4 linked regions of the Saccharomyces cerevisiae S288C genome follow. The protein of the gene in region 1 interacts with the protein of each later gene in a biochemical or structural test. Each region holds a gene or a part of one and is shown in the gene's direction. Other genes may lie near its edges.

Region 1 (5,660 bases):
AATCAGCATCTTTCATAGCAAAAATCAGAGATTCATGAAGCTCCCTTCTATCAACAAATTTTAACCCATTTACATTGTGTTGTACTAATTCGTCAAGCACTGGATAGTTCATTGCAATAACAGGAAGACCTGAGCCAAACATATCTAAAATTTTCATTGGCAGGTCCAACCCTGAACTTGAAGTATGCAGGGAAACTCCGTAATCGCATAATTGTAATAACTTTGGGTAATCCTCTGCTGACAACCACACAAATTCGATTTGACAGCGCTTCCAGTCATATTCTTCTACTTGCTTCATATATTTCTCCTTTAGTGGTCCTTTACCCGTTATAAAACACAAGATCTTAGGCAAACTTGAATCAAATTTGACATAAGAGTTTTCGTAAATCTTTAGGGCACCTAATAAAATACCAATATCTTCATCAGGGGTGAATGATGTTGAAGTCACAATAATTTTATCGCCTTTTTCTGTATCAAAATCATCGCGAATATAATTCTTTATAAAGGCTTTGGTAGTTAGGGCTTTTTGACGAGAAATGTCACCTGCCAAAGGTTGAAATTGGGAAGCCGGGCGGTCGTAGAGAACAGCACATCTCTTTGGATTCAAGTGAAAGCTTTGAATTAAATATTTCCTCATTGCTTCAGTAACAGTCAAGTTATAATCAGCAAATTTGCTGAATATCATCTCTACCATGTAAGATATCAACACTAAAGGATGGTAAAAGTTTCCTTTAAATTTTAGTTGCAATATCGAATATGCTAGATTGTGCCAATCAATAATTAGTTTACAACCGGTCAACTTGTATAGCACAGCAATCGGAAGAATGGGTATGCTCGGTGGATTTTGAACTAGTATGTAATCGCTTCCTCTCAATTCCCAAAGTAATTTGAAAATACTTAAAACTTGAAAAAGCACCTTCTTTACCATAAATATAACTGATGTTCCGCCTCCCTTTCTTTTCAAGTTTGACATATGATGGACGGTGATATTTGGATCACTGGAAATAATTTTGGGTAGAGTGTCCTCCACATAACCGCATAGCTCGACTTGCCAACCTAACTTACTGAAACTTATAGCGTGATAGCATATCCTTGGAGAGTGTCCTACATCACCCAGCACAAATATGATGATCCTTTTTTTGGTCGACTTGTTGCCATAAAACAAGTAGGGTATAACATAATAAACCACTAACGGTATGGAAAGGTATAATATTATTAAGGCAAGTAACCACCGAGGAATTTCCAAAAACATTTTCACCAATTGACTATAGCCCCTAAAATGCCGTTACAATTACCCTCTAATGGCTTTGCTAATTGCTGATTGAAAGATATATGACCAATTAACTTGATGATTGCTATATGCGCGTTCTATTGAAGCAACGTGCAAGATGATCACTGCTTGGATTGACCTTGTTTTAGCAACAAGCCATACAAAGATATCAGACAGGAAAGTCACAGTCAAAGCATGCAAAAATCGACAAAGCAAACATAAGTAGAACCTGAGAACATCAACCATATGTCCTAATGAATTCAAGCACCCTCTTTTCCACCCAATTTGAGACATTTTCAAGATGTATTTATATTTTCGTGTACTGTGATATGACTTTATTCTTAGAATTTTTTATTGCCCGCGTAAGAAGGTGTTTAACAAGAGATCTTGTTAACTCACAAGGGTACTCTGACTGGATAGAAATCTTATTCTTGACCGGAAACTATCGAACTACAAAGAAAGAGCTTAGTTAATACAAATAAAAAAGTACAATGTCCTCCAATCTTACCGAAGAACAAATTGCTGAATTCAAAGAAGCCTTTGCCCTCTTTGATAAAGATAACAATGGCTCTATCTCATCAAGTGAATTGGCCACTGTGATGAGGTCATTGGGTCTTTCGCCCAGTGAAGCAGAAGTAAATGATTTGATGAACGAAATAGATGTTGATGGTAACCATCAAATCGAATTTAGTGAATTTTTGGCTCTGATGTCTCGTCAACTCAAATCAAATGACTCTGAACAAGAACTACTAGAAGCTTTTAAAGTATTCGATAAGAACGGTGATGGTTTAATCTCCGCCGCTGAGTTGAAACACGTGCTAACATCCATTGGTGAAAAATTGACTGATGCCGAAGTAGATGATATGCTAAGAGAGGTTAGTGATGGATCAGGCGAGATCAACATTCAACAATTCGCTGCTTTGTTATCTAAATAGGTGCATCCTTGTGATTTTTTGCTCCCGCTATCTTACCCTTACCATTCTGGTTTTATAGTATTCGTTGAGTATCGTTTCATCTAAAGTTTGACAACCACACGCAAATATATACTGTACGTAGACAGGGTTAATGTTATTTATGTAGATAAGTAATGTTCCTGAGAAGACAGTTTAAATAAAGGATACGGATTGTTTACCAAGGCGGATAACTAAATTTAGCCAGTATTAAGTTCAATGTTGCGTAGCTATTTCATTATTTTAATTTATGCAGTCTGTCATCTTCTTGAGGAACAACATTTCGTTTGTATCTTTCAAAAGGATTTAAGTTATCGTCAGCAGCAGAAATATCTCCCGAATAGGCCCTCTCCATTTCAATAGGTCTTGGTTCGAGCGATTTTAGTAATGGCTTTTTCTTTGGGACCACTGGTGGCTTTTTCTTCAGGTTATCATTCTTTTTTGGGACAACAGGCGGCACTTTCTTTGGACTAGACCTAGAAGGTGGAGGCCTTGGTGGAGTAATAGACCCCGATGCAGACACATATTTTTCATCTAGATCTGAGGGAACAGGGCTAGAGTCCTTCACTTTTTTCGAACCGCCTAACTTTTCCAAATTAACGTTTGTTTTTCTTAATTTGATATGCGACAACTCATTGGTAATGGAGTTTAAAACTTCATCTTGTCCAGTTGCTTCCCTAGTAAGTTCCTTGGGATATTCATTGGCCTTTAAAGAAAAATTTCTAGGTTTTGGCTTTACAACAGGAGGAGGCGCCTTCTTCGTAGACTGTTGCGCTTGAATAGACGAAGTTACAGGAGGTATTGACTTTTCATATTTATTAGCATCTTTTGAACTATCAACTTCGGATGTTATAGTACCCTCATGTAACTTCTCAGATCTGGATGGGGCCGGAGGGGTTGGCGCTCTTTTTCTAATAAAGCTGTTGGGGGCATCACCCAAACGACCGTTTTCTGTAGAATTCTCACTCTTGGGGTTGTATTCATCACCATCATGGTGCTTAGCTATACGCCCACGCCCACGCCCATGATTTGCCTCAGGTCCGTCGATAGTATAAGAACTATCACTAGAATTGGACGATTGTGAACGCCTAAATGGTTTTGGTGGTGGCTGGAAGTTTTGAATAGGCTGTGTCTCCATATGAGCTCTTCTGAATTGAGATTGCGATTGCGGTTTCGATTGAGGTACCAACGATGGTTCAACGTTTCTATCTTCCTCAGAGGGGTGCCCTGGCAAAACTTCACCCTTCATTTCTACAGGTGATGCTTTACTATTCTGATTTTGTTTAGTTTCAGTATGTCTAAATGGCTTCGGTGGAGGTAAAAAATTAGAAATGGGATCCTCCTGTACATTAGCGGCATTCGTTGACAGCACCGACTCTGTCCTCTCAAAATTGCCTCGTGATGGGGGAGGAGGAGGCTCAACATTGTTCCGAGGAGGTAGAATTGGCACTGCCCGTTCTGGTGCGTTCTTCGTGGTGTGCTCAGAAGGTACAGAATCAAGTCCATGTCTGAAAGGTTTTGGAGGTGGCATGATGTTGACATCTACATCATAATGTCCTAAAATGGACGACTTGGAGGTACTTTCATCGTTTTCTTTGTTTCCAGAGTTCCTTTCATTGTCTGCAGTAGTAGTTCTTGAATGCTTTGCTGGCAATGAAGCCGCCGAAGAGGTTGTGTTAGGCTGTATTTTCCCACTTGGCGCAGGTTCCTGGTGTACAACTGCTCCTCTATCCCTATGAGTGGGAGGTGGTGGAAGGCTACTAACGTCTACAGTGGGAATATCGATTTTGGGCTTCGGAGCAGGTGCGTCTGGGTCAAATGGAGTAACTTCAAAATGTGGGGTTGAGCCAGTAGAATCAAGAGAAGGCTCAATCGGATAGATGTTTCCCTGTTGCATTGGTTGCGGTGGCTGTGGCTGCATTCTTACAGGCACAGGCGGTTGTCCACCGACTGGAGGCTGACCTTGCATGGGTGAAGCTCCATAGCTGGGGTTCGAATCTTGCATGTTTGTAGTACTTGACATGGCTTGGCCATAGACAGGCTGAACCGCAGCCATCCCAGAAACTCCTTCCACGTTCATTTGTGGCAACAAAGCGTTGTTTTGGTTCAGAGGCTGCTGTTGCTGTTGCTGTTGCTGTTGCTGTTGCCCAAAGCCATTTGACAGAGGCTCTCCGGGCGCTGGCAAGATCACTTGACCGCGCGGGGGCGGTAATGGTTGCCCTTGTTGTTGCTGTTGTGGTTGTGCAGGTGATGGTAAAACTTGCTGGCCAAACTGTGTCGTGGGCTGCTGCTGTTGGCCCGATGGAAATTGGGATTGTCCGAGATTGGTTGAGCCATGTGATACGTATTGCGGCTGCTGATGACACTGAAGACCGTTCTGGAAAGACGGTGATGGTGCCGGATTACTTGATTGGGTACCATATTGCAGATTTTGCGAGACAAACCCTGTGCTTTGCTGAGAAGCAGAGTTCAGAGATACCTGACTTGGAATTGCATTTTGGGGTTGATTTTGTTGCGGCAGCGACTGGTAGCTGGTTGCATTAGAATTTGACCCATACGGTGGTACTTGCTCTCCATATATAGGCGGCTGCTGTGGCACTACACCTTGTTGCAGCTGCTGTTGCTGTGGCATTACACCTTGTTGCAGCTGCTGTTGTGGATACTGATTATACTGTGGTTGTGCGTATTGTGACTGTTCCGTCGATCCTGCGCCAGGTTGGCCTTGGTATGCACCCTGAAAAGCATAACTGGCCTGACCATTTGGCATTTGCTGTTGCTGTTGTCCTGTATAAGTTTTTTGTCCAGGTTTCAAAGGTGGGGGAGGAAAGGACTTTGGGTCTTTTAAACTTCTTATATCGGTCGGCTTTCTTTCGTACTCCATCTCATCTTCGCTATCATACTCCTCATCACTTGAATTTTTCTTACCACTCTTCCTTTCCCTACGCGCTTTGCTGTTGTTATAGTGCTTCTTACTTGCCTTATACCCTGTCTTGGCAACGTACTTTGTTCCTTGGTAACCATATTTACCGGCGCTCTTCAGCCCTGAAGTGATGGAATCTTTGTTGTTCTCCCAAAATCCCATGCTGGTTGATAACTTGATTTTTTTATGAAAGACCTCTCTCGAACATACGATTATGTAAACTCAAAATGACTTTATCCATATATGTATACACTTAATTTAGATGATGAAATATAAAAAAATAGGGTGGTCCCTGGTTTTCCTGAAGCGCGATTTAGGCAGATCCAGTGGTACTACGGGAAAAAAAAATGCCGACACCGATATGAAATAGACAACAACCATAGTGGGATGATCTGGTCGACTGCATGGTTGATTTGATTGTCTATAGGTATCAACGTACTTCCTTTGGATGGAATGCCTTATACTTGGAAGTTTTTAGGAATCAGCAAGCAACTTTCACTGGAAAATGGTATAGCAAAGT
Region 2 (8,834 bases), on another chromosome or scaffold:
TTAATTGAAGAGGAATAGCCGCAATCCAGGACACCATGCCAAGTAGATGTTGGCATATCAGCTGAGAATGTGGTTCCTGGAACCTTTTTAGTCAACGTTGCAAAAGCTGATTCATATGCTCTACCGCATGCCCAGTAGGCTTGTGCGTCTTCTGTTTCGTATCCAGACATGGCCGTATACATCACTCCCATGTTACCACAAAAAAAATGATGTGGTCGCATTTGGTGATAATGAAGTAGAAAATGTGGTTGTGGGGGAAGTTGTTGAATCAGACATTCTCACGTTACTTTACTTTTTTTGTTAAACTGAAATCTTTAAATAATCAAAGAGTTCAACGTTCGAGTAACTCTTTTTTGTTCTACTTTTAAGTAGCTTCACTTTTCTGAACAATTGAAATAGTTGAACAATTGACCACGCTACAACGGAATTTTGATAAAATAGCAAATGATGTTTTAATATATATAACTATTTATTATTTATGGTGGCTAAAAAATTTTCAGGTTTTCAGGCGACCTCTTCAGTATCCATTATATGCCGCGACAAACCCTTTTTCCAAAAACGGTCATCGATGTTTATTCCGAGTAGGCTCAGTTGCCTGCGCCCGGACCCTTCTTAAGGGGAAGTTCTCGAAACTTTATGTAATTTTAAGTTTAACATAAACTGTATAAGCCGCTGTAACACTGTACCAAGATAGGCGTTTTAATTACGGCCTAGATTGTTTAATATTTTGCTTAGAAATAATAGGGCACAAAAAAACATTCGAGGCTTAAAGTAGTGTCACATAAAAATGTGTCTTCTGGTACTTATTAGAAAAGGCTTCCCAAAAAAAGCACAAAAGAATTTAGTATTGAATGTTCATGCCCCTTGTCGGAATAAAAACGGAAAAAAGGGAGAGTAAACTAGTCTGTTGTAGCAGTAGGCAGTGATGATTATTCCTGGAAAAAATCAAAGATTCTGTCTTACACAACTTATTCAGTACAGTTTCGCTAAGTAAGGAAAGAAACTTTACAAGGGTAAAGTAGGTAAAGTTCTAAACTATATGTCAAGGGTGTCCCAAAATAAAAACTAACAGTACTTAATGAATAGAGTTCCTGGGATTGTGCTGATCCCAGTTTTCTTTGGCAGCTCTGAGCGCTTCTGCAACTCTATGTAGGCAATTTTTAAATCGGTTGACTTTTTCTCTAGATTTGTTCGGTAAAATGAGGTGTTCTTGTGATAAATTTTCTCTTTTGTTGTCACTTACGTCAACGCTCAGCCTAGGACATGATGTCTTAACCTTAATAGTTCTTCTCGACAATATATTTTTGAAATGTTCGTAATTTCTGAAGAAACTATTTTGTTTTTCAACACATACAGAACTTCTCCTCATGACAACACTTCTTACACTTTGATCTCTACTAAAGGTAGAATTTGGTGAAGCTAGATGGACTGGATAATATGGTGATGATTCCGATATTATTTTCAAATTAGGGGTCAAAATTCTGGACCACGTTGAAGGTTCCCCATACGGATCAGGAGCTGGGTTTGAGCAGACCCAATTTGCTGTTCTTCTCGAGATTGTCTTTGCAATAGCAGGAGTTATACGTTGCATTTCGGCTATCGCTTGATTAGTAGTGTCTTTTAAGGCACTTTCGTCGCTGGAAATTACTGTTGCATGTGTCAATTCGATTGAGAAGGGGTTACTATCTCTTGTGGCCTTTTGTTCCGGAAACGTAAGCAGTTTATTGCCTGAATCAGTAGAGACAGTTCTACCGATTTTTTCAAACTTCCTCTGTGTGGTGCTTTGTTCATTGCGAAAATTTGATCGGTATAAGCGATGTGTACGGTTTAAAGTAAGTTCTTGAAGGGTAGGATTGTTGCTTTCATTAATTTTTTCTAAAGAAAAATTACTTCTCAACAAATATTCAGTTTTTGCTGACGTTGTAAGTGGGAATTCGACGGAGAATGTTTTATCATCGCAAACGTTCTCACTTGTGCATGAACTTTTTGTTGTTTTTGATGTAGTGGCGTTCTTTCCCTTTTTATTCAATATCTTTTTCGATATATAGTGTAAATTTTTGGTGTCACTGTCTAGAGAAAGGAAAGTCTTTCTTGGTGTCTTTTCCCAATTTACAGATACTCTATAATTTACTGTCGTAACCGCAAAAGAATCCACTGAATCTAATTTTGACCATCTTATTGTTCGTTTGAAGGAAAAGCATAAAAATTTGCCGGTAAATTTTCCAATTTTCATACCGTCACCATGAAAAACTGCTCTTTTATCGTCAATAAAAACATTTGGAACATTAACGTTAGTTCTCAAATACAGAATTGCCTCGCCGGTTTTTTCATCCTTTACGCTCTTATATATGAGATCGTGGAAATGCTTGACAAACAAATTATTTAAATTTGCATGAGGTTCTGCAAATAGCAACATGTTGTTTTTAATCCTTCCAAGAACTTTTTTCATTAGTGCAAAATAGGGAGTGAAGACAGCATGGAAAGCGCTTTTTAACGTTTCATTCGTAAAGTTCAAACTGTTCACGGAACATTTTCCAGGCCAGTGGAATCGTACCCAATAAACAGTTGGACATAGAACTAGGACTGGCATACACTCTTCCATTTGGAGAATGGATATTAGTATAATGTAAATATAATTGATTTCATCTGGATGTCTCTCAAAGTCAGCAACGCTGATTCGTTGGATGTATTTGTTTGAACCTGCCAACAGCCTGAAGTACTCTAATTTTTGTTTGTATGTAGCGAAATTAGTAAATTTAGCCAATCTTAGCATGCCTCTAGAAAATGATATATTGATGCTTTCGAAGCCTGGTAATCTAGAGTATTCAATGAACATGATTGAAAAAGCACTAGGCCAGGTGATTATACCGCAGACTTACGGTAATATAAGGGCAAGAGAACTAAAAAAATCAATAATGTAGGCTTATATTACAGTTCTTTGTGAGATATTCCTTTCTAGAGCGTTTTCTGTGTCCACTCAATTAATATATACACTTCCCGTATCCTAACATTTACTGACACAATGATAGGCACAACGCGCGAAGGAGCGGTGGGGCTTTGAACAATAAGGACCCTTACATAGAAAAGGCGTTAGAACAACAATATGGTTAGGCCATAGAAACCTCGGTGTCTTTTAGGAACTTCACAGAATAGAACATACTGCAGTAGATATAAATACACCACTGGGGCAATGCAGCCTGGTTTTTTCCAAATATACAAAACACTTCATGATACTTACTAATGGTCGTTGATACAGTACTCATTGTATCATTGCAGGAGAGTTAGGTTGGCTTTTTTGCATTTATTTATTTATTCATTTACTCAATTGACAGGCAATGTCAATGATTTTTTGGAAGAAATTTGCCTAATGTTTTTACTCAGTTACTCACCGCTCCCTGGATAACATAAGGTTCATTTGCTTCCGTACTGATTTTTTTTGGCAGTCTATAAGCCACTATGTACTTCCCAATGCTCCTGCAGGCATATTCTTTTTCAATTTTCATGTTTTTACTTCCAGTCGTTGAGCATCATATGGATTCTATGTTGATGAGGCTTTTCAGAACGTGCTGTACTTTCGGAGAAGCGCCCGCTTTAACGCAGCGCGAAGAGAATAATTGAGGCTTATCTTAGAACCCTGCCCCCTTTGAAGCCACCCATTGCTGTTTCTCTTGGTAATCCTAATAATATAAAACAATACGATATTGTTCAAGATCAGCAGAACTTCAATTCGTTGATCAATCTTTTCGTCACCTTTTCTTCTATCACATCGCCAATATAAATATAGACACCAAAAATGCCCAAGGAGTCAGAGGTCATAAATTCTGAATTTCATGTAGATGTCCAAGATCCAGAGCGTCTAAACGGCCACCCTGTAGCAAAATTTATCAATAAATTAAGCGGTCAACCTGAATCTTACGTCAACAGGACTAATTATATTTTCGGTCGAACACTGGGTGCCGGTTCCTTCGGTGTTGTGAGACAAGCCAGAAAGTTGTCCACAAATGAAGATGTTGCTATAAAGATCTTATTGAAGAAGGCATTGCAGGGAAACAATGTGCAATTACAGATGCTGTACGAAGAGCTGTCCATTCTTCAAAAATTGAGTCATCCGAACATTGTGTCATTCAAGGATTGGTTTGAATCGAAGGATAAGTTCTATATTGTCACTCAGCTGGCAACAGGAGGTGAATTATTTGATAGAATTCTGTCTAGAGGGAAGTTCACAGAAGTGGATGCTGTTGAAATCATAGTTCAGATTCTTGGTGCCGTGGAGTATATGCATTCCAAGAATGTTGTTCATAGGGATTTGAAACCTGAGAACGTTTTGTATGTTGATAAGTCAGAAAATTCGCCTCTGGTAATTGCGGACTTCGGTATAGCTAAACAATTGAAGGGGGAGGAGGATTTGATATACAAAGCAGCCGGATCGTTGGGTTATGTGGCACCAGAAGTCCTCACACAAGATGGACATGGTAAGCCTTGTGATATATGGTCCATTGGTGTGATCACATATACTTTACTGTGCGGTTATTCTCCTTTTATTGCCGAAAGCGTTGAAGGATTCATGGAGGAATGTACAGCTTCGAGATACCCGGTAACCTTCCATATGCCATATTGGGATAACATATCTATTGATGTTAAGCGTTTCATCTTGAAGGCATTGAGATTGAATCCAGCTGACAGACCAACTGCTACGGAATTGCTGGACGATCCATGGATTACTTCAAAGAGAGTTGAAACTAGTAATATTTTACCAGACGTTAAGAAAGGGTTTTCTTTGCGTAAGAAATTACGTGACGCTATTGAAATTGTGAAGCTTAATAATAGAATTAAGAGGTTAAGAAATATGTATTCATTAGGGGACGATGGCGATAACGATATAGAAGAGAATTCCCTCAATGAAAGTCTTCTGGACGGCGTCACACATTCGTTGGATGATTTACGTCTGCAATCTCAGAAGAAAGGGGGAGAACTAACAGAAGAGCAAATGAAATTGAAGTCTGCATTAACAAAGGATGCCTTTGTTCAAATTGTCAAAGCTGCAACAAAGAATAAACATAAAGTTTTGGCTGGTGAAGAGGAAGACGATAGCAAGAAAACACTGCATGATGATCGGGAGTCGAAGTCAGAAGACTAAATTACGGACTTGAATTCGTGTACATAAATTCGTATATAATATTTAATGTGTAAAGCTAGTGACGATTTTATGTAACCAGCAGCTACACTTCATGGCATTCAAACTATAGACCTTTTCTGGCATTACGCCTCAAGCTTCTTTTTTCCCGAGAATTATCTTGTAGTTGCCTAACGGGTTCTGAGAAGATCTCTATATCATCACAATTCCTATCACAATCTTTAGCGCCATTGTGTAATTCTCTTTTCCCAAAAGATTTATCTGTCCTATCTTCACCTTTTCTTGTCAATGTATTCTCCTCACTCAGATATTCTGAATCATAGTCATCGCTAACGTCAATGTCAACTTCATTTTCACTTTCCTCGGAAACGTCACCATTTACATCACTCGAGTAATGCACCGTGGTTCTTCTCTGAGAGCTTGTTCGCAAATGACGTCCTTCAGTACTGCCTGTAGGGGCAGCAGTTATGCGCTGAATAGTCTCATTTATGAATATACTGAAAATTTTCAAAAACTCAATTAGATTGTCTATACCCTTTTTTGTATCATCGGTGTCATTTTCAGTAAGTGATGATAAACTTTCCAAATACTCAATGAAGTTGCTCAAAGAATTCGAGTCTCCTGCAACTTCAAACCAATGCGGCACCTCGGCAAAGTGAACATCATTGAACTGTAAATTACGGATACATGCAGGAGTGTTCCTATATATAAGTTTAAGTTGACACTTGTTTTCATTTTGTGCGGTTTTTGCAGGCAGTATTTTTGTACCCTCCTCTTTGAATTTTACGAAGTAATTAAGATAAGTTGACATGTCATTGAAACTGTAACTAGTGTTTACTGAACTGCATTCGTTGCCAATCCAGAATGGTGGTAAGTAGAAATCTCCAACTCGTGGAATTCTCGCTATCATAAACTCTGATGTCCTTAACTTGTAAATTTCGTCTACGGTGGGATCATCAATTGGTGTGTGTGTAAATTCGTTTGCAAAATATTCACCCCATTCTTCATTTATTTTAACTGCAGCTCGTAATCTGTCTGTAGTTACTTTTTCGCTCAATGATTTCCGAACACCCTTTAGAAATTTCATCTGACTATTGATCTTACTCAGTTTTCCTTTGTCGCTGGGCTTCCTTTTCTTTCGATTTTCCAACTTTTGACTCATCAAAGAGCATAAAACTTCACAACTATCTAATATGTTATTGGCCCCGCACATAGCAAACCTGCTGGCGTGAAAAGTTTGATGGTTGAACCCTGTATCGCCTTTCAAGTGAGTGAGCCTTTGAATTTCATTATGGAAAAGTGCGGAGTAGCTACAATTCCAATCGATCATGCATCTCAATAATATTATTCTATCTAATGGTTCCATCGTCAACAAACCACCTCCATTAAAATTTAGAGTAGATAAAATATCACTATTACCACGCCATTCTTTTGGTAAGCCCCACTCCTGGATTAAGCTTCTGAGTTTGCCAACCAGTTTTCCATATGGATTTTTCAAACTAAGAAATCTTTTTAGCGTGAAATTTCTATGAGTTTGGTTGTCTGCTCTTTTCTCGGAGCAGAATAATAACCTCAAAAGACTGCAAAATAGTAGATTCATTTTATCCTGACAAATTCGAATATTCTTCGCAGAATGGCCAGCCACCTTTAATTCTAGTCCTATCTCCACATCTTGAAATGACAGGTTCAGTAGATCGTCGCTGAACACCCATTTAAATTTGACGATAAAAGAAAGGATCTTCATAACATCGCCTGCATATGGGAGAGGGGTGCAAAGGGGAGGCGCCCAATTGCTTTCCGTTACCGTCTCATCACTCATAAACTTTGCAAAGTCAGAATATCGTAAAGGAATATTTGGTGACCAGTTTAATGTATTCAATGGTCTATTATTAGAAGTAGTGTGTTCACTGATCGACTCTACCTTGTTAGTGTCGTTCGAATGTGTTTTGATATTAGAATATTTGCTTGCCATATTTGCCTCCATTTCTTTAGTTTTCATTTCTTCATCACAGGTACCTTCATATTTCTCCCGCTTTTTAGTATTTTGGGTAGCAGCATCCAGTGATTCGTCAATTGAACTATTGTGAGAAAGTACAACAGGTTCTTCTACAATTTTGATGTTTCTGAAATCATCAAAGGTCAACTGACCCCTTCTTTTTACCCTAGGCTTTGAAGACTGGTTTTTCTGTTGTTTGACCATAGGTTTCTTGATAAAGTCATCGACCAAGTCTAAATCAATAATTTCTGTCATTATTGTACCTCAAATTTCTTGTTCCTTATTTTCTTGTTTGATGTCTAAAAAAAAGAGATATCCTGGTAATGAGCAGGCCGTTTCTTCAGCTCATACAATCGAAAGCTTAAGAGTTAGTCGTTGATATGGTATTCTCTAATACCGAAAATAACTTAGTACATATAAACGCGTAAAGTTCACGCGTTTATATCACCCTACCATATGACATTCTAACCCTACTAATTTTTTATCAAAGCTAATAGGGTTGTATTTTATTATCTTTTACACCTACCTTTTTTTTTTGTATATGCCCTATAGATGAATTATAATTGTTGGACCGGTTTGTATTGGGCTTTTAAGGTGTAAAGTGAGTGCGTATAGATTATAGCAGAATAGACTATAAGTACGGCAAGACAGGAAAGTCTCCAATTGATGTACATTTTATCGCTTTGTGATCTAGGCAGTCGTTACAAACATGTTTAGAGATAGAACTAATTTATTTTTATCATACCGTAGGACTTTCCCTCATAACATAACTTTCTCATCTGGGAAAGCACCCTTGGGCGATGATCAAGATATTGAAATGGGTACATACCCGATGATGAATATGTCTCACGATATATCGGCCAGATTGACAGATGAACGAAAAAACAAGCATGAGAATCACAGTGATGCGTTACCACCCATATTTATTGATATAGCGCAGGATGTTGATGATTATCTTCTGGAGGTGAGACGGTTAAGTGAGCAGTTGGCGAAGGTTTATAGGAAGAATTCGTTACCTGGCTTTGAAGACAAGAGTCATGATGAGGCGCTGATTGAAGATCTAAGTTTCAAAGTAATTCAGATGCTGCAGAAATGTTACGCTGTTATGAAACGATTAAAGACCATATACAACTCTCAATTTGTGGATGGTAAGCAATTAAGTCGAGAAGAGCTGATTATACTAGATAATCTACAGAAGATCTATGCAGAAAAGATACAAACTGAAAGTAATAAGTTCAGAGTATTACAAAATAATTACTTGAAATTCTTGAACAAGGATGATTTGAAACCTATCCGCAATAAGGCCAGTGCAGAGAACACGCTATTATTAGATGATGAGGAAGAGGAGGCAGCAAGAGAGAAGAGAGAGGGCCTCGATATTGAAGACTATTCAAAAAGGACGTTGCAGAGACAGCAACAGCTTCATGACACTTCTGCAGAAGCATATTTGAGAGAACGTGACGAAGAAATTACTCAGTTGGCAAGGGGTGTATTAGAAGTGAGCACTATTTTCAGGGAAATGCAAGATTTGGTTGTTGACCAGGGGACTATTGTGGACAGGATTGATTATAATCTGGAAAATACAGTGGTAGAGCTAAAAAGTGCAGATAAAGAGTTGAATAAAGCAACACACTACCAGAAGAGAACTCAAAAATGTAAAGTCATTTTATTACTAACATTGTGCGTAATAGCGCTCTTTTTCTT
Region 3 (8,083 bases), 200 kb from region 1:
TAACAACTAATTTATTTGTTGGCTTAACAGGTTTGCTTTTGTGCCATATTAATTGCTTATCTCTCGTATTCCATATGAACTGTATCAATTCATATGTCATATCTAACACTTGCTTGGACGGAAATAGTATATGTTGTGCAAGTGTGTTGATGTAGTATAATAGGTCAAATCTAAATTTATATCCAACATATGATGCTAGACCTATCAGCTTTTGCATTTCATGTACCTTCATTTTGTAATCATCTTCTTCTAGCTCTAGTTCTTGCTGGTTTATATAGAGACCTGGTTGGCCTGGGGCACCAAGTTTTCTTCCGTTTGGATTCAAAGGTACGTTTAATTTGGGTATTTTCTCAGTTAATGAGTTTTCCATACCTAATTTCATGTATTTACCTCTTTGATATTTGATTTCTAAGCCAAGGATGTCGTGTTGAATTTCATCATCGCTTTCACCTAGATTTATAATCTTGGTATCGTATTGCATCTTGAGTTTTGCTATAATTCTTTTATTCGAATTTAAGTCCTTGCTGAACAATATCATATCATCAACGAATAAGCAAATTGTTACTTGACTATTCTTAAATACGCATGACCATCCACGAACTTCTTCCATACCACACTGTTTTATCAGGTATGATTTGATAGTTTCGTACCAGTTCGCTCCACTTTGTTTCAATCCATAAAGTGATTTCTTCAAACGTATCAACTTATCATTCATTCCTAAATGTGGTGGAGGTCTTATGTATAATTCTTCTTTGATGTCTGCATACAAATATGCCGAAGATATGTCTAATTGTGTAATATAGTAGTTATTGTCTAATGCAAGTGACAGGGATGTCATTAATGCATAGTGATGTACGGTATTGGATTGCATGCCTGAGTCGTAAGTGTCAGGATGCTGAATATCACCTCTTGCAACAAATCTAGCTTTATGAGTACCGTCACGTTTCCTGTTGAAGATAAACATTGAATTTATTACTCTTTTAGGGTCTATTTCTTTTCTGTCATAATATTTGTCAGTGTCCCAAGTTTTCATCTTCAACAGTTGATTGACTTCTTTGTGGTATGCCTCGATATATTTTTCTTTTTCTTTAATATCTTTATTATAGGTGATTGCCTCATCGTATCGTAAGGTTGTTCGTATTGGTTTGATTGATTTTACTGCTTTTACAGCTGCAATCAGGTGAATTCGTTTCTTCGATCTCGGAGGTTCTAAACTACGCATATTCTTAGTATTCCATGTGTCTCGTGATACCTTAATTTCAGTTTCATTATCTTCTAATGATCTTTTCTTACTGTTGATAGTAGTATAGGCATTAGAGTCACCAATACCACCCAAACTGGAATTAGTTTGACGAGAATTGATCGGTGGAAGTTCTTTAAAAGAGTCTGATAATTCGGTAGGAGGTTCTGGAGGCAGATCGGGGAGTGGAAGATCAGCGATAATAGATTCCTCTGTATTTTCCTTAAAACAAGTATCTGACGTTTTGATAGGAACGACATGGTGTAGTGAATTACTTTCTGATGACGGAAGTATCCGATCGGAGGTGAAGCGGTGTATAATCCTTTTCTCAGTCTCCTGTTCGCTTGTCTGCGGAACAGTTTTATTATTGGTACCACCCGTACTGGATATTGGTACGTTTGTATGATTAGTCTCATTGTCACTGTACGAGTCTGAGTGTCTGAAATCTTTAGATTTACTGGCGTACGACGACTCATGTGTGTTAGATTGGGACATGGGAGCAAGTAAAGGAACATCTAATCTATGCATACCACCCGAATCGGTACTCTCGATATCGGAAATTTGGGGGGTGCTAGATCTCTTCTTAGATGGAAGAATATTAGATTCAGATATGTTGGGGTCAACTTCTCTGGGTGCGCGAATATTGGTTTTAGAAACACGTTTCGAATCTTCAGTATGAGTTGACGGGGGTGTGGAATCGGTTGGACTCACAGCTTTTGAAAGGACATTTCTCGGTTGCTCAGGATATAGTTCAATATCAGATTGAAAGTCATGGTCTGATTCTATGTTAAGATCATTGGATTGTTGGATCTCATTTGACGCAATGAACGATTGATATGAAGCAGTTAAACGGTTTAAGTCTTCATCGAAAGTGAGTGCGTCGTAATTGAATTGATCTAATCTGGAGTCCTTGCCCTGAAGAATAACATAGTTAGTTGTATCTACTGTCTTCTTTAAGGATGGAAGATAGATGATATATCCATAAGAGTTTCGAGACGGATGTAGAGCGTAGCCTGGGATGCCACGAGGATGTATTTTGGAGTTAGGGTTGTGATCATTGACGATAACAGGTTGACCGAAAGGTAACAAAGTACTGATATCAAGTCCTGCCAAGCCAGCATGTTGTCTTGCAGATTTTTTGCTTTTAGGTGAAGCTAGTGAATTTCTCACAATAGTAGAAAATTCGATTGCAGAGAACCATAAATGGTTCGGTAAACCACTACATTGCAGTTGAGTACGGCAGTCATCTAATAAGGTACGGTTCAGCCGTTCAGCGACTCCATGTGCTCGGGAATCCGCTGTGGTTGTATAGCATGGAGTTATACCATTTTTTTCAAGGAATTTATGGAGAGTTCTGTTAGTATACTCAGAACCACGGTCCATTTGTATAACCAAGACACTGGCCTGAAACTGGTTTTTAATAAAAGCTAGTATCGTAGTAAAAACATCGAGGATAGAGTCCTCGCGACGGTCGTGTAATGGATAAACCCAACGGAATTTTGTTGTCTCATCAGTAAATGAGATGAAATAGGATGGTGCACTTTTTGGTAGGTTGTGAACTGGACCAAATATGTCAGTATGTAGGTATTGAAAGGGTTCGTATGAATTTTGGTATTTTAGTCGTGAACCTTTGATATGTCTGTGTTTGGTGCTTTTGCCGATTAAACAATCAGGACATTGATAGTCAATAGCACTAGACCAGTCGACATCTGATTCGTTAAAATACGTGATGGTGTTATTTTTAAGTGAGTATCGAATTGTCTGTGCATTGGCATGCGCAAGCATTCGATGAATGAAAGGATAAGGATATTTGCGTGTACTTTCACTTGTATGGACATTATTGATGGTGGGTACGGAGATATTTGATGGAAGCAAGTACTTTTTAGATACCCAGTAAAAGTCTCCATATTTTACGATAGGTGCAAGTACAGTGCCGTCAGATCGTTCTAAGACGTTTTTGGTAAAGCATGCTGTGATATCTACTGCAGCCAATTCATTCAAACTGAGTAAGTCATAGGCTATGTTAGGAGTGTGCAATACCTTTAATGATGTTTTGGTGTTGTCCTGGAAGTGAAATTGTAGGTCACCAATAGCGTTAATTGGTATATTTCTTTTTTGAGCATCAACTACGTTTATGTCAGGATTAGATGATGCTGAGTGTATGTGATGAGCAGATCTTATAAGGGTTCGTGATGCTCCTGAATCGAGAAGGAGGTGTCCAGGGAGTTCATCATCAGAATGATTAGTATGATTTACTGTAGATTCAGTAAGTTTCTGGCCTAAGATGAAGGTCGTGCTTATTGTTCAATTGAATCGGTTCAGTAGTTGATTTACTGATGGAATCGTTGTCCGTGCTGGGAGAGTTATTAGATGTGGATACATTGTGAGCCCTGGCTGTTTTCGATTTCGAATTATTTGTTTTTTGAGGATTCCGAGCTATAACTTTGGGTTTGGTTGTATTCGTATAGCTGCGAGAATCATTCTTCTCATCACTCGGATTTCTCCTGTAATTAGGTTTGCTGTTTCTCGATCCCTGTTGTTCTTCATAAATAGCATGGATATCTAAGAACAGTTCAGCGACTGTCATATTTAGATGTCGATGACGTGTGTAGCGTAAAAATTTATATTCGCCAGATAGACCTCTCATAATTAATTGACATGCGACCTTGTTATTGATATGAATGCCATTATTGTTCAGTCTGTCGATAATGTTTGTGACTTTTGTTTCAAATGCATCTGCAGGTGTACTGCCATTATATTGCAAATTTGCCAGGGTCACAATGTCGTTTGCCTCTTGGGTATCAGATTGCATTTTTTCAATACTTTTGGAAAGAATTTTCATGATATCCGTATAATCAACGGATAGGATGTCTTTGACCCAGGTAGGTAGGAATTGAGAGGGAGCAAATATTTGAAAAGCGTTATACAAGAAGGTGAGTTCATCATCAGTGATCGGACGTACGGGTTTTCCGTTTACTGTCGGAATAATACCACCGAGATTCGAGTTTTGTAAAAATTTGATGTATGTTTTAACCCAATTTGGAAAGTCATTAGGTGAGGTTAACATTGGTGGTGGTCTGACATATTTTTTAGTGGATGTCATATCAGAGTCCGCTGAGGATGAATCAGTAAATGTATTACCTGACTCAGGTGATGGAGTGCTCAGAGGCGTTCCAACTGATGATGGATACTGCGGAAACTGTGATTGTGGCCCAGGTGGAAAGTACATAGGCGACATTTGATAAGGTGTATACGGAATCATAGATGGGTGTCCGTAAAATGACCAACCAGATGGATTGGCTTGGTTTTGGGTCATCATGCACTGCTGTGGGTACGGCCCATTCTGTGGAGGTGGTACTGAAGCAGGTTGAGGAGAGGCATGATGGGGGTTCTCTGGAACAGCTGATGAAGCAGGTGTTGTTGTCTGTTGAGAGTTAGCCTTAGTGGAAGCCTTATCATATTCTTGAATTTTGGAAGCTGAAACGTCTAACGGATCTTGATTTGTGTGGACTTCCTTAGAAGTAACCGAAGCACAGGCGCTACCATGAGATATATGTGGGTAATTAGATAATTGTTGGGATTCCATTGTTGATAAAGGCTATAATATTAGGTATACAGAATATACTAGAAGTTCTCCTCGAGGATATAGGAATCCTCAAAATGGAATCTATATTTCTACATACTAATATTGCGATTATTCCTCATTCCGTTTTATATGTTTCATTATCCTATTACATTATCAATCCTTGCACTTCAGCTTCCTCTAACTTCGATGACAGCTTCTCATAACTTATGTCATCATCTTAACACCGTATATGATAATATATTGATAATATAACTATTAGTTGATAGACGATAGTGGATTTTTATTCCAACAATTACTTTAACATGAATAAGCTCAAAGTAAGCCAGAACAATTACCTACAAAGAAGTGATTTCTATAAATTCGAAAGAAACGGCACTGAATGGGAATATATATTTGCATCAAATTCAGCTTGTCTTGATTATAATAATAATACAGCTGTTAATAATGATATAATTTCGTCACTTAATTATTGCATCAGTGATGACAGATATTATGAAACTGCAGCGATGTGTGTGGTTTTGAAATTATCTCAAGATTGCTCTTTTGATGTGAGGCTTCAACGAAGTGGAAATGGGCCATATAAGAATATCTGGGATATGCCTTGCGGAGAATTACAACAACACATTGGTTACAAAAATGGTATATGCTATAATAGTGAAAACACGGTGTTATCGGCAGTAGGTGTAGAACATCGATATCATAAAAGTGTTTCTCGTCTATAAGATAAATTTGTTGGCGGTTATAGTTCGAAAAAGTGTATTGGACATGTTATAGATCAGAAAAACTTGGATAAAAATTGATAAAAGAAAAATGAACCACAATACCTTTACATAGTATTTTAACTCATTATCCTCGTGAAATATATATATATATATGGATATATATGGAACTTTGTTGGAATGAAATTTTAATATCATCTATTTCGCAGCACTCATGTTACTATTATATCACATGCGGTGTAAGAGGATGGCATAAAGATTGAGAAACAGTCATCCAATCTAATGGAATGCACGACACAATAATGAGTGACAACATATAAAAGGAAGTAAGATACAATAATATTATTATGTATAACTATCGATTTCCTTTTGTGGATTCCTATATCCTCGAAAAGAACTTCTAGTATAATCTGTGTACCTAATATTACAGCCTTTGAAAACAATGGAATCCCAACAATTATCTTATTCCCATAATTCTCATATACAAGATACAAGGGAGAAGTAAACAATGGATACAAGGAGAAATATGGCGCTAAAGGCTGATTTAATTGGATTGTTCGATTCGAAGTCGCTCAATAGAATTTGATGGCTCCCTCAGAGTGCGGTTCAAATCATTCGGATACTTTGAAGAAAGGGTAATATATTGTACCTTTGAACATGAGTTCATGAGTTGAAAAAGGTAAAAATAATCTGCTAAAATGATTACTCTTCTCTAAGAATGTGGTCTTCCCCACCCACGTGATAGTAATACATAGGAACCGTTTTACTGAACGCTACATTACCCATCAATATAATATCATGATTTAGCCGCCGAATTTTATGTAACTAAAAGGTTGCGGGACTTTGAAGCCCAGGTAGAAGTGTTTCATTCACAGAAGGAGATGCCAATGTGCTATTATTATCCCTGTGTGGCGCACTATTCAAACGGATTTGACTGTTCTTCAAAATATCGTCATCGCAGACGCTAAGGTTGTTGGGAGAAGCCACAGTCATTAGATACGATAGTCTCATGATGACTTTTTCTCGTTTTTTTTCGACGTTTTAAGGTCGCGTCGAAGTTAGGAAGGTTAGTTCATTTACAACTTGTTTTTGAATACTTACTTTCTTAATCATCTATTTTGATTTGTTGTCCCTTAGGTCTATAGAACAGGATATCCCGCCGCGCAATTTACTAATGACCTACACTACCAGACAAATTGGTGCCAAGAACACCTTGGAATACAAAGTTTATATCGAAAAGGATGGTAAGCCAGTTTCTGCCTTCCACGACATTCCCTTGTACGCTGACAAGGAAAACAACATTTTCAACATGGTTGTTGAAATTCCACGTTGGACCAACGCCAAGTTAGAAATCACCAAGGAAGAAACTTTGAACCCAATCATCCAAGACACCAAGAAGGGCAAGTTGAGATTTGTTAGAAACTGTTTCCCTCACCATGGTTACATTCACAACTATGGTGCTTTCCCACAAACTTGGGAAGACCCAAACGTAAGCCACCCAGAAACTAAGGCAGTTGGTGACAACGATCCAATTGATGTGTTGGAAATTGGTGAAACTATTGCTTACACTGGTCAAGTCAAGCAAGTTAAGGCTCTAGGTATCATGGCTTTATTGGATGAAGGTGAGACCGATTGGAAAGTTATTGCCATTGATATTAACGATCCATTAGCCCCAAAATTGAACGACATTGAGGATGTTGAGAAATACTTCCCAGGTCTGTTGAGGGCTACTAACGAATGGTTCAGAATTTACAAAATCCCAGATGGTAAGCCAGAAAACCAATTTGCCTTCTCCGGTGAAGCTAAGAACAAGAAGTACGCTTTGGATATCATCAAGGAAACACATGACTCCTGGAAACAATTAATTGCTGGTAAGTCTTCTGACAGCAAGGGTATTGATTTGACCAATGTTACTTTGCCTGACACCCCAACCTACTCCAAGGCTGCCTCTGATGCCATCCCACCAGCTTCTCCAAAGGCAGATGCTCCAATTGACAAGTCTATTGACAAGTGGTTCTTCATCTCCGGTTCTGTTTAAAATATTTTGAATTGAAAATGAGACACCTACCACGTATGCGGCTTCAAGTTGTTTAATATGTAGCTATATATCGATTATATAACTGACTCATGAATGAATATCTTCCTGCTGCAATTTTTCTTTAACCACATGGAAAGCCATAAATCTTGCCTCCTACAAGGCCTGGCTTTTTTCGAGGGTATCGCCAGGAAAAACAAATCAATAAATGTAAAACAAATAGAACCCTATTTTTTTTTATTAAAACCTATATTTTTGTAATAAAAAATAACTATTATACAACTGTTAAAGAACCCAGTAAACCTAAATATATTGATTTATATTTTATTGTGTTTTTGTTCGTTTTTTACTAAAACTGATGACAATCAACAAACTATGATCTTTCACCTCTTAATCTTCTAGCCAACTTGATATCCTTCTTTTGGATAGTGACACGCTTGGCGTGAATGGCAGCCAAGTTGGTATCTTCAAATAAAGAGACTAAGTAGGCTTCGACAGATTCT
Region 4 (7,931 bases), on another chromosome or scaffold:
GGGGCACCCATTCTGGGTTGACACCACAAAGCAGCATTTCAAGTGACAAGGCTAGACATTTGATGGAGGAAATGAATGAAGAGGAAGGTATTCACGAAACTGTGGTACCTGAAGATCGTCACAACTTTGAAACCAAGCTTATAGGCAAGCTAAAAGATAAGGTGAAAAATATGAAAGTAACTGACAAGGCTAAAGATGAGGATATAGACCCAATGGACCCAATGAGTCCGTTGAATAAGGATGTGTCTTGATTAACTGCGGTGAACCTTCAATATCTGTACGTTTGAAAAATATTTCCAACGATATACCTCTATATTTTGATCTATAGAATATTTAATTGCAGTAGTTTTTTATCAGTAAGGTAGCGTTGATATTACTAGTGAAGGTAACTCTATAGTTCCTTGACATGTTCTTTAGATTCTAGAGGTTTTTTATTGAATTTGTTTTCCCACCTTATTTAAACTTTGAGAACAAAACTAGCAAAATCAATAATATAAGGACTGCGATAATGGCATAGCTTATGAATTTATTAGCAACTAGCCTTCTAGTCATTGTTTTTAGTGTCTTTATACTTTTATCCACATATGAATCCGCTTGAAACAAGGTCTGTCTTGCATTTTCCAAAGTTTCTCTCTGTGACCTTAAATCCATCATTATTTGTGACCCTATTCCTTCAGTTTCATTTGCTATTCTACTGGCATCTTTTAGTCTATCTCCCGATTTCTGTAAGATTGCATGGTTGCTCAACAACTGTTGCCTTTGGTCATCGTCAATATTAGATGCGTTAAGATCTCCAAAAAGTCTATCACGATCGCCTGAGTCTACTAAGGATTGCAGTGGTCGTTTGATATCGCTCTGTATAGTCTTCTTCCATTCTCTTAACTTCGCCTTGTACGTAGCACGTTCTGAGGCATCGCCTATGCTGTTATTAACTTCTACATCCATCTGATCTAGCAGGTCAAACAACTCATCTTGTTGCTGTTCTACGTGCTTCAGTGTAGTATTTCTCTGTGATAACGGTTGTGAGGGGGCCTCTGCTAAGCTCGCTTTGGCTTGTTCTAAGGTTGTTTTGAAGTCAGATTCGTATGATATTAATAGGGAACTCATAGTAAGCCATGCAGCAATGTAAAGAGTGCGGTTGATTCGTTTTATACAACTTAATGTAAAGCTTTACACTTTTCCAAGAATAGTAATTGCCCTATATAGCACGACTACTCCACTCCTAACTTTCATTGAAAATTAGACAGTCATGTGATCAGTAATATCGTCCATAGTGATATTTGTTTGTTTACCATTTTTGTTCTTATTTACTCTCTAATATGATTCTAGTATATGAAAGATACCACTGTCGTAGCTCGTATCAAAATAAAACTAGTCAGTCGTTGACCATTGAGCATATCGTCCGAGAATAAGGCTTTACTGTATTATTTTTTGATATCCACACGTTATTGAGCTCATTCACTGATCGACACATTTAGGCGGCTTTTCCGTTTGGCTGAAGCAACTTTGAAACACAACTACGACATTATAATTAAGCGCCTAAATAAGTGAATTTTGTGCCATAGGGTTGGACCGTGTATATATAAGAGCTATTCACTATTTTAATATTTGTTTTGGCATTTGAAACTCGTTGACATAAGCTTTATTATTAGGATGAATAACTCCAAAATTCCTAAACTTTCCTTTCATAGTGATCCAAACAACGTCACTCGAGACTTTCCAAAGACAAAACGACAGAAGGTTCAGAAAAGAGAAATGGATATGATACTAACTCCTAATAACAACAAGCTAAATATATTGCACAGCTCTGGATCTGGTATACGGCGCTGCTACACTGATGACACCTCCGCTACGTATACTAAGAAACTAACCTTTGGGGGGGACCCCAAGATTATTGAAAGGGTTAAGAACAATGAACGTAAGGTTAGAAAAGACATAGATTCACTACTGAATGCTATTTCTGAAATTGAAAAGGAATCTGTTCGTATTCATGCCAGGGAACTACCTGCAATAACATTAGAATTAGATGCAAAAGTCAAAGCGTGCAGGGAGCTACAAAATGAGATTGATGGACTATCAACGGAGATGGACTTGAAGGATAATCAATGTGATCTTCAAAGAAAGAATGTTGAGCTATCATCAAAAAATATAGTGTCTATGCATGCAGTAAAAGTACAAGAGTTCGAAAACGATTTAGAGGAAGAGCTATCGAATGCCAAAAGGGAGTGGACGTATAAATTAATGGAAGTAGAAAATTTGAAACCTGACGAAAGGTTAACTGACGAAATGCGACAGCTTAAAACAGAATTCGAGGAGGTCAATAGGAAACTATTCATTCTACAGAATGAAAATGAGAACGAGTGTAAAAACTACAAAAAAGAATTGGACAAGAAATTCGAGATATTCAAGAAAGTTAAGAACGATGCTAGAATTGAATTAGATGGGGAGCAAGAAAGACTTTCGAAAGTTTTAAAAGACCTACAAGACACCCATGGTGAACTGAAAGAAAATATTAAGACGTGTAGAGATGAGTTTAACGATTTTGAAAAAAGGATTGGAGAGGCAGAAGTGAACTTCCATAGCATGGAACTTGCCGTTGTTCCTCTCAAAAAGAAGCTTGCTTCTACATCACAAGCATTGACGCAAGTGCAGGAGGAGAAGAAGCAAGTCGAAGGAGAAGCAAACAATTGGAAGAAGAAGTACGTTAATGAACTAGAAAAGGTTCAACAGGAATTATACACACGACAAAATCTGGCCACTTCAATTGAAGAAATCAAAGGATACACCCGATGCTTTGCGTATGCCAATGAACGACAAATGCCTGATGAATTCCATATCAACTATGTGGATCGGTGCATTTGCGAGAATAGTGGAGAAAAACGGGTACAAGTATTTGATAGAGTAGTTCTCGAAGAAATCCATAAGGATCACAAACGCTTATATAACGAATGCATTCCGTTCCTGGAAAAATACATCAGCAAGTTAATTAACTGCAGCATTATAGTGGTTTCGCAGCAACCCACAGCACCAATGAAAAAGACTTTGCTAAAACAGTTAATTGAGCAGTACGGTGAGAATTATAAGATGACATTGAACATTTTGCATCTTGACGGAAGTATTAAACACAGTGACGTTGGATTAGATAACCCAACAGAAATTAGAGATCTGTCACAAGATGAAGAATGCATGAACATTTTAACTTTAGATACCAAGTTGGGAAAAGATGAAGAGTCCCATTCAATGAATATATATATCGGTAGTATGTCCACGGTACAGCTGAATAGAGAGCTTGATGATGCTCCCTCAGTCCTTTCGCATATTCTCACTAAAACAAAGCAGTGCTTTGTCTTCAAGATTAACGCTGGTGAAAACATCGAGAAGGCTCTAGCCTTAGCGGGAAAGCTGAAAAGAACAATAACATTACCTCAGCTAGATTAAGAAGGCCAGATCTTGTGCGCTACAATCACTTCGTCTCGTTCCCTTACATAAAAAACTTACGTAGCTACATTGTCGTGCGTGGCATCAACCTAATTATCCTAGCAAAATAAAAGAGAATGTTACGGGACTAACAGGCGGATGTAAATTACTCACTTAAACGCAGCCAAACATCATCGAGAACTTAGGGTAGCGTGCCACAAAATTTGCATGAATAAACTTTTGTTTTCCTAATTCGACAGCATTCCCTTGTTCGCAACACTTCACTGATAGGAAATCGAATAGCGCACACTCTCTTCTGGGACATACCCCAATGCGGTAAAGCCACGAAAACACCGCGCGTAAAGGGGTAAACAAGTCCATTCCTACAACCTCTTGGAGAAATTCTTTACCTACTACAACCCCGCGCCTGATACTTTCAGTATTCATGACAACTCGAGCCAGATCCCGCTCGTGGGCGTGTTCATTCTGTGACGATCCACTAGCGACTTCTTTGTTCAGCCTGCAAGAGACGCGTTCAAGGAAGAATTCGCGATTTTACTTCTTCGAGGGAATCTCGCACCGCGTTAGTTAGTTTCCAACCTTGAAAGCATCGGAGACGCATTTTTGGCGATTTTGCTGGATTGAGCTGAATGGTGCCAGGTCGAGGCTGGGAGGGAGACTAACTCGAAAGTGACGAAGACTCGAAAATTAAAAAAAAAGATACTGCAGAAGGCAAGATTGAGAATGGAGTAAAGGCAGCGTGGGTCCCCTGTGGAAACCGCAGTTTTCCTGCGCCAAGTGGTACCGGTGCGAGTGCAGCAATTAATCTCTCGATATTTTCTTAGTATCTCTTTTTATATAAGAATATATTTTGGAATTGGTAATGCTTATCTTCAATAGTTTCTTAGTTGAATGCACACTTAAGAGCAAATTGGCCAAGGAGTTCTTCGTTCGCTTTAATTTATTTCCTGGTTATTGTCAATTTATTCATCCCATCTCCCCAGGATAGAAGAAATTAGTGTAATTTTGCTGACAATACATTTTAACGACGATAACAATAATAGCAATTAAATAAAATAGCACTACCACCACTCCACTGCTCGTTAGCTATTTCTGTAAAATAAATAAAAAGATCATGAACCACTCAGAAGTGAAAACTGGGTTAATTGTCACTGCAAAGCAGACATATTACCCAATTGAATTGTCCAATGCAGAACTACTAACTCATTACGAAACCATACAGGAATATCACGAGGAAATCTCTCAAAATGTGCTGGTCCAATCTTCCAAGACAAAACCAGACATAAAATTGATCGATCAGCAACCGGAGATGAATCCTCATCAAACTAGAGAAGCCATAGTAACATTTTTGTATCAACTTTCAGTGATGACTAGAGTAAGTAATGGTATCTTCTTCCACGCTGTCAGGTTCTACGATCGCTATTGCTCTAAGAGAGTAGTGTTAAAGGACCAAGCTAAACTAGTTGTAGGCACCTGCCTTTGGTTAGCGGCCAAAACTTGGGGAGGGTGCAACCATATTATAAACAACGTCTCCATCCCCACAGGTGGTAGGTTTTATGGTCCCAATCCTAGAGCTCGTATTCCACGCCTTTCTGAATTGGTTCATTATTGCGGCGGGTCCGATTTATTCGATGAATCAATGTTCATTCAAATGGAAAGACATATCTTGGATACTCTGAACTGGGACGTTTATGAGCCCATGATTAATGACTACATTTTAAACGTTGACGAAAATTGTTTGATACAATATGAACTTTACAAAAACCAGTTACAAAATAACAATAGCAACGGCAAAGAATGGTCCTGTAAGAGAAAGTCACAATCTTCTGACGACAGTGATGCCACAGTGGAAGAACATATCAGTAGTTCACCGCAAAGTACTGGACTAGATGGCGATACAACTACCATGGATGAAGATGAAGAACTAAATTCCAAAATTAAATTGATAAATTTGAAAAGATTCTTAATTGATCTGAGCTGTTGGCAATACAACTTGCTTAAATTCGAATTATACGAAATATGCAATGGTATGTTTTCTATAATAAACAAATTCACTAATCAAGATCAAGGCCCTTTTCTCTCTATGCCCATTGGTAATGATATAAACTCAAACACTCAAACGCAGGTATTCAGCATTATCATCAATGGCATAGTCAATTCTCCCCCATCTTTAGTCGAAGTTTATAAGGAGCAATATGGTATAGTACCTTTCATATTACAAGTAAAAGATTATAACTTGGAATTACAAAAGAAACTGCAACTGGCCTCTACAATAGACCTAACCAGAAAAATTGCTGTCAATTCTCGTTACTTTGACCAAAATGCCTCTTCATCATCAGTTTCTTCTCCAAGCACATATTCTTCGGGAACCAATTATACTCCAATGCGAAACTTCAGTGCACAATCAGACAACAGTGTTTTCAGTACTACCAACATTGACCATTCATCGCCGATCACCCCTCACATGTACACTTTTAATCAGTTTAAAAACGAAAGTGCTTGTGACAGTGCCATAAGCGTAAGCAGTCTACCTAATCAAACCCAAAATGGTAACATGCCATTATCAAGCAATTATCAGAATATGATGCTAGAAGAAAGGAATAAAGAGAATAGAATTCCCAACTCATCATCCGCTGAAATACCACAACGTGCCAAATTTATGACGACTGGTATATTCCAGAACACAGGAGAACTTACTAATAGAGCGTCTTCGATATCGCTATCGTTAAGGAACCACAATAGCTCTCAACTGTGACCATTTTCTCATCAAGCCTACATATATACTTAATTAATAACGGAATACTACGCTTTTCCATCGTAAGTAATAATGACATTCATACTTGACATTTTAATACCAGATAATTTTAATGCCCACCTACAAACATCTAGCCTCAATATTCTTCACCTGAAACCAGCTGAATAGTAATATACCAATATTCTTTCAACGATTGATATAATTATCATCATGAACGGAAAAGATGACGCGATTTTCCAGTATTTTTTTCTTCCTTTCGTTCTAACGTTTGCGGTAAGCAAAGGAGAGTAGTAATTAGCAAACAGTTATAAATAGAAAGCCTCTCTAAGATTATAGATATATAGTCATACTAAAGCTTGAGATCTCATCTTTTTCGAGAACCTACCGGCATATTAAACTGAAGTAAGACATCATTCTGAGGAAAGGATCGGTATTATAACCATTATTATTTGTTGCACTTTATTACTATGTGGTCGAAAAAGTTTACATTAAAAAAGCTAATCTTAGGCGGGTATTTGTTTGCTCAAAAGGTCTATTGTGAAGACGAAAGTAACTCTATATACGGTACCTGGTCATCTAAATCAAATCAAGTGTTCACGGGACCGGGGTTTTATGATCCCGTAGATGAACTATTGATAGAACCTTCATTGCCCGGGCTTAGCTATTCGTTCACTGAAGATGGTTGGTACGAAGAAGCTACTTACCAGGTAAGTGGCAATCCTCGTAACCCAACTTGCCCCATGGCTTCGTTGATTTATCAGCATGGTACATATAACATTTCAGAAAACGGTACGTTAGTTCTGAATCCTATTGAAGTTGACGGTAGACAACTATTCAGCGACCCATGCAATGATGACGGAGTTTCGACTTATTCTAGATATAACCAAACAGAAACTTTCAAGGAATATGCCGTAGGTATAGATCCTTACCATGGTATTTACACCCTGCAATTGTACCAATATGATGGTACTCCAATGCAACCACTATATTTGGCTTATAGACCACCAATGATGCTTCCAACAGAAACTTTGAACCCAACATCGTCAGCGACCAGCACTGACGACCCATCCTCTAATAAGAAAAGATCACTGAGAAGTTTAGTGAGGAGGAGCCTGGAAAACAGACACAAGACGAATGCCATTAAAAGACAAAATACCTCATTTTTAACCTCCAATGCCATTTGGTATATTTCTGCGGGTATGCTAGGTGTAGGTTCATTATTATTTTTAGCATTTTAGGCGCACTACAGGGATACTTATTCAACCAATGGGGGAAAGAGGCCCCATGTGGCCTTCAAATAAATATTAAAAACTATAAACATATAAGGCAAAACAACTTTATCAGGCGAGAAAGAGAAGCAAGAATAGGTGTAATTTTATGCACCCAAGGAATTGATTGTAATCATATTATTAAATAAGGTGGATGAATAAAAGATTTTCAAACCAGTTTTTCCGAGATAGTTAATTATGTACGAGTGACAAATGGGATATCAATCAATGAACACAATCAAAACACCTTATTATGACTTTCTTGTTATATTCTTATATACATAACCAACATTTAAATGTCAATTTCTTCAGTTTCTAGCCCGCAGTCTGTACATCTTCTTCTTTGAATTTGATAACCGTCTTCATCAATACCTCCATCAACTGGATCACTAAAATGATGAATATGGGCTTTCCCATGCTTCTTTTCTCTTAATCTATTAGTATATTCTTGAGCTCTTGTTTTCAGTCGC

The links.
Region 2: the proteins of CMD1 (region 1) and CMK2 form a complex in vitro, tested with the Saccharomyces cerevisiae proteins (one study listed by BioGRID).
Region 3: the proteins of CMD1 (region 1) and IPP1 form a complex in vitro, tested with the Saccharomyces cerevisiae proteins (one study listed by BioGRID).
Region 4: the proteins of CMD1 (region 1) and ROT1 form a complex in vitro, tested with the Saccharomyces cerevisiae proteins (one study listed by BioGRID).

The regions. Positions count from the first base shown.
Region 1 is NC_001134.8:454,464-460,123, reverse strand, and holds CMD1 (calmodulin), read left to right. Parts: upstream 1-1,761; coding exon 1,762-2,205; downstream 2,206-5,660. Other genes in the region: ALG1 (chitobiosyldiphosphodolichol beta-1,4 mannosyltransferase), read right to left, coding at 1-1,252; AIM3 (Aim3p), read right to left, coding at 2,459-5,302; IML3 (Iml3p), read left to right, coding at 5,594-5,660.
Region 2 is NC_001147.6:291,080-299,913, reverse strand, and holds CMK2 (calmodulin-dependent protein kinase CMK2), read left to right. Parts: upstream 1-3,793; coding exon 3,794-5,137; downstream 5,138-8,834. Other genes in the region: YOL014W (uncharacterized protein), read right to left, coding at 1-221; IRC10 (Irc10p), read right to left, coding at 1,076-2,836; ESC8 (Esc8p), read right to left, coding at 5,241-7,385; t-SNARE syntaxin TLG2, read left to right, coding at 7,840-8,834.
Region 3 is NC_001134.8:256,612-264,694, reverse strand, and holds IPP1 (inorganic diphosphatase IPP1), read left to right. Parts: upstream 1-6,719; coding exon 6,720-7,583; downstream 7,584-8,083. Other genes in the region: YBR012W-A (gag protein), read right to left, coding at 3,504-4,826; HHT1 (histone H3), read right to left, coding at 7,954-8,083.
Region 4 is NC_001145.3:658,092-666,022, forward strand, and holds ROT1 (Rot1p), read left to right. Parts: upstream 1-6,660; coding exon 6,661-7,431; downstream 7,432-7,931. Other genes in the region: YMR196W (uncharacterized protein), read left to right, coding at 1-251; v-SNARE protein VTI1, read right to left, coding at 454-1,107; CIK1 (Cik1p), read left to right, coding at 1,654-3,438; cyclin CLN1, read left to right, coding at 4,553-6,193; DNA repair protein RAD14, read right to left, coding at 7,754-7,931. UniProt on the Saccharomyces cerevisiae protein: Required for normal levels of the cell wall 1,6-beta-glucan. Involved in a protein folding machinery chaperoning proteins acting in various physiological processes including cell wall synthesis and lysis of autophagic bodies.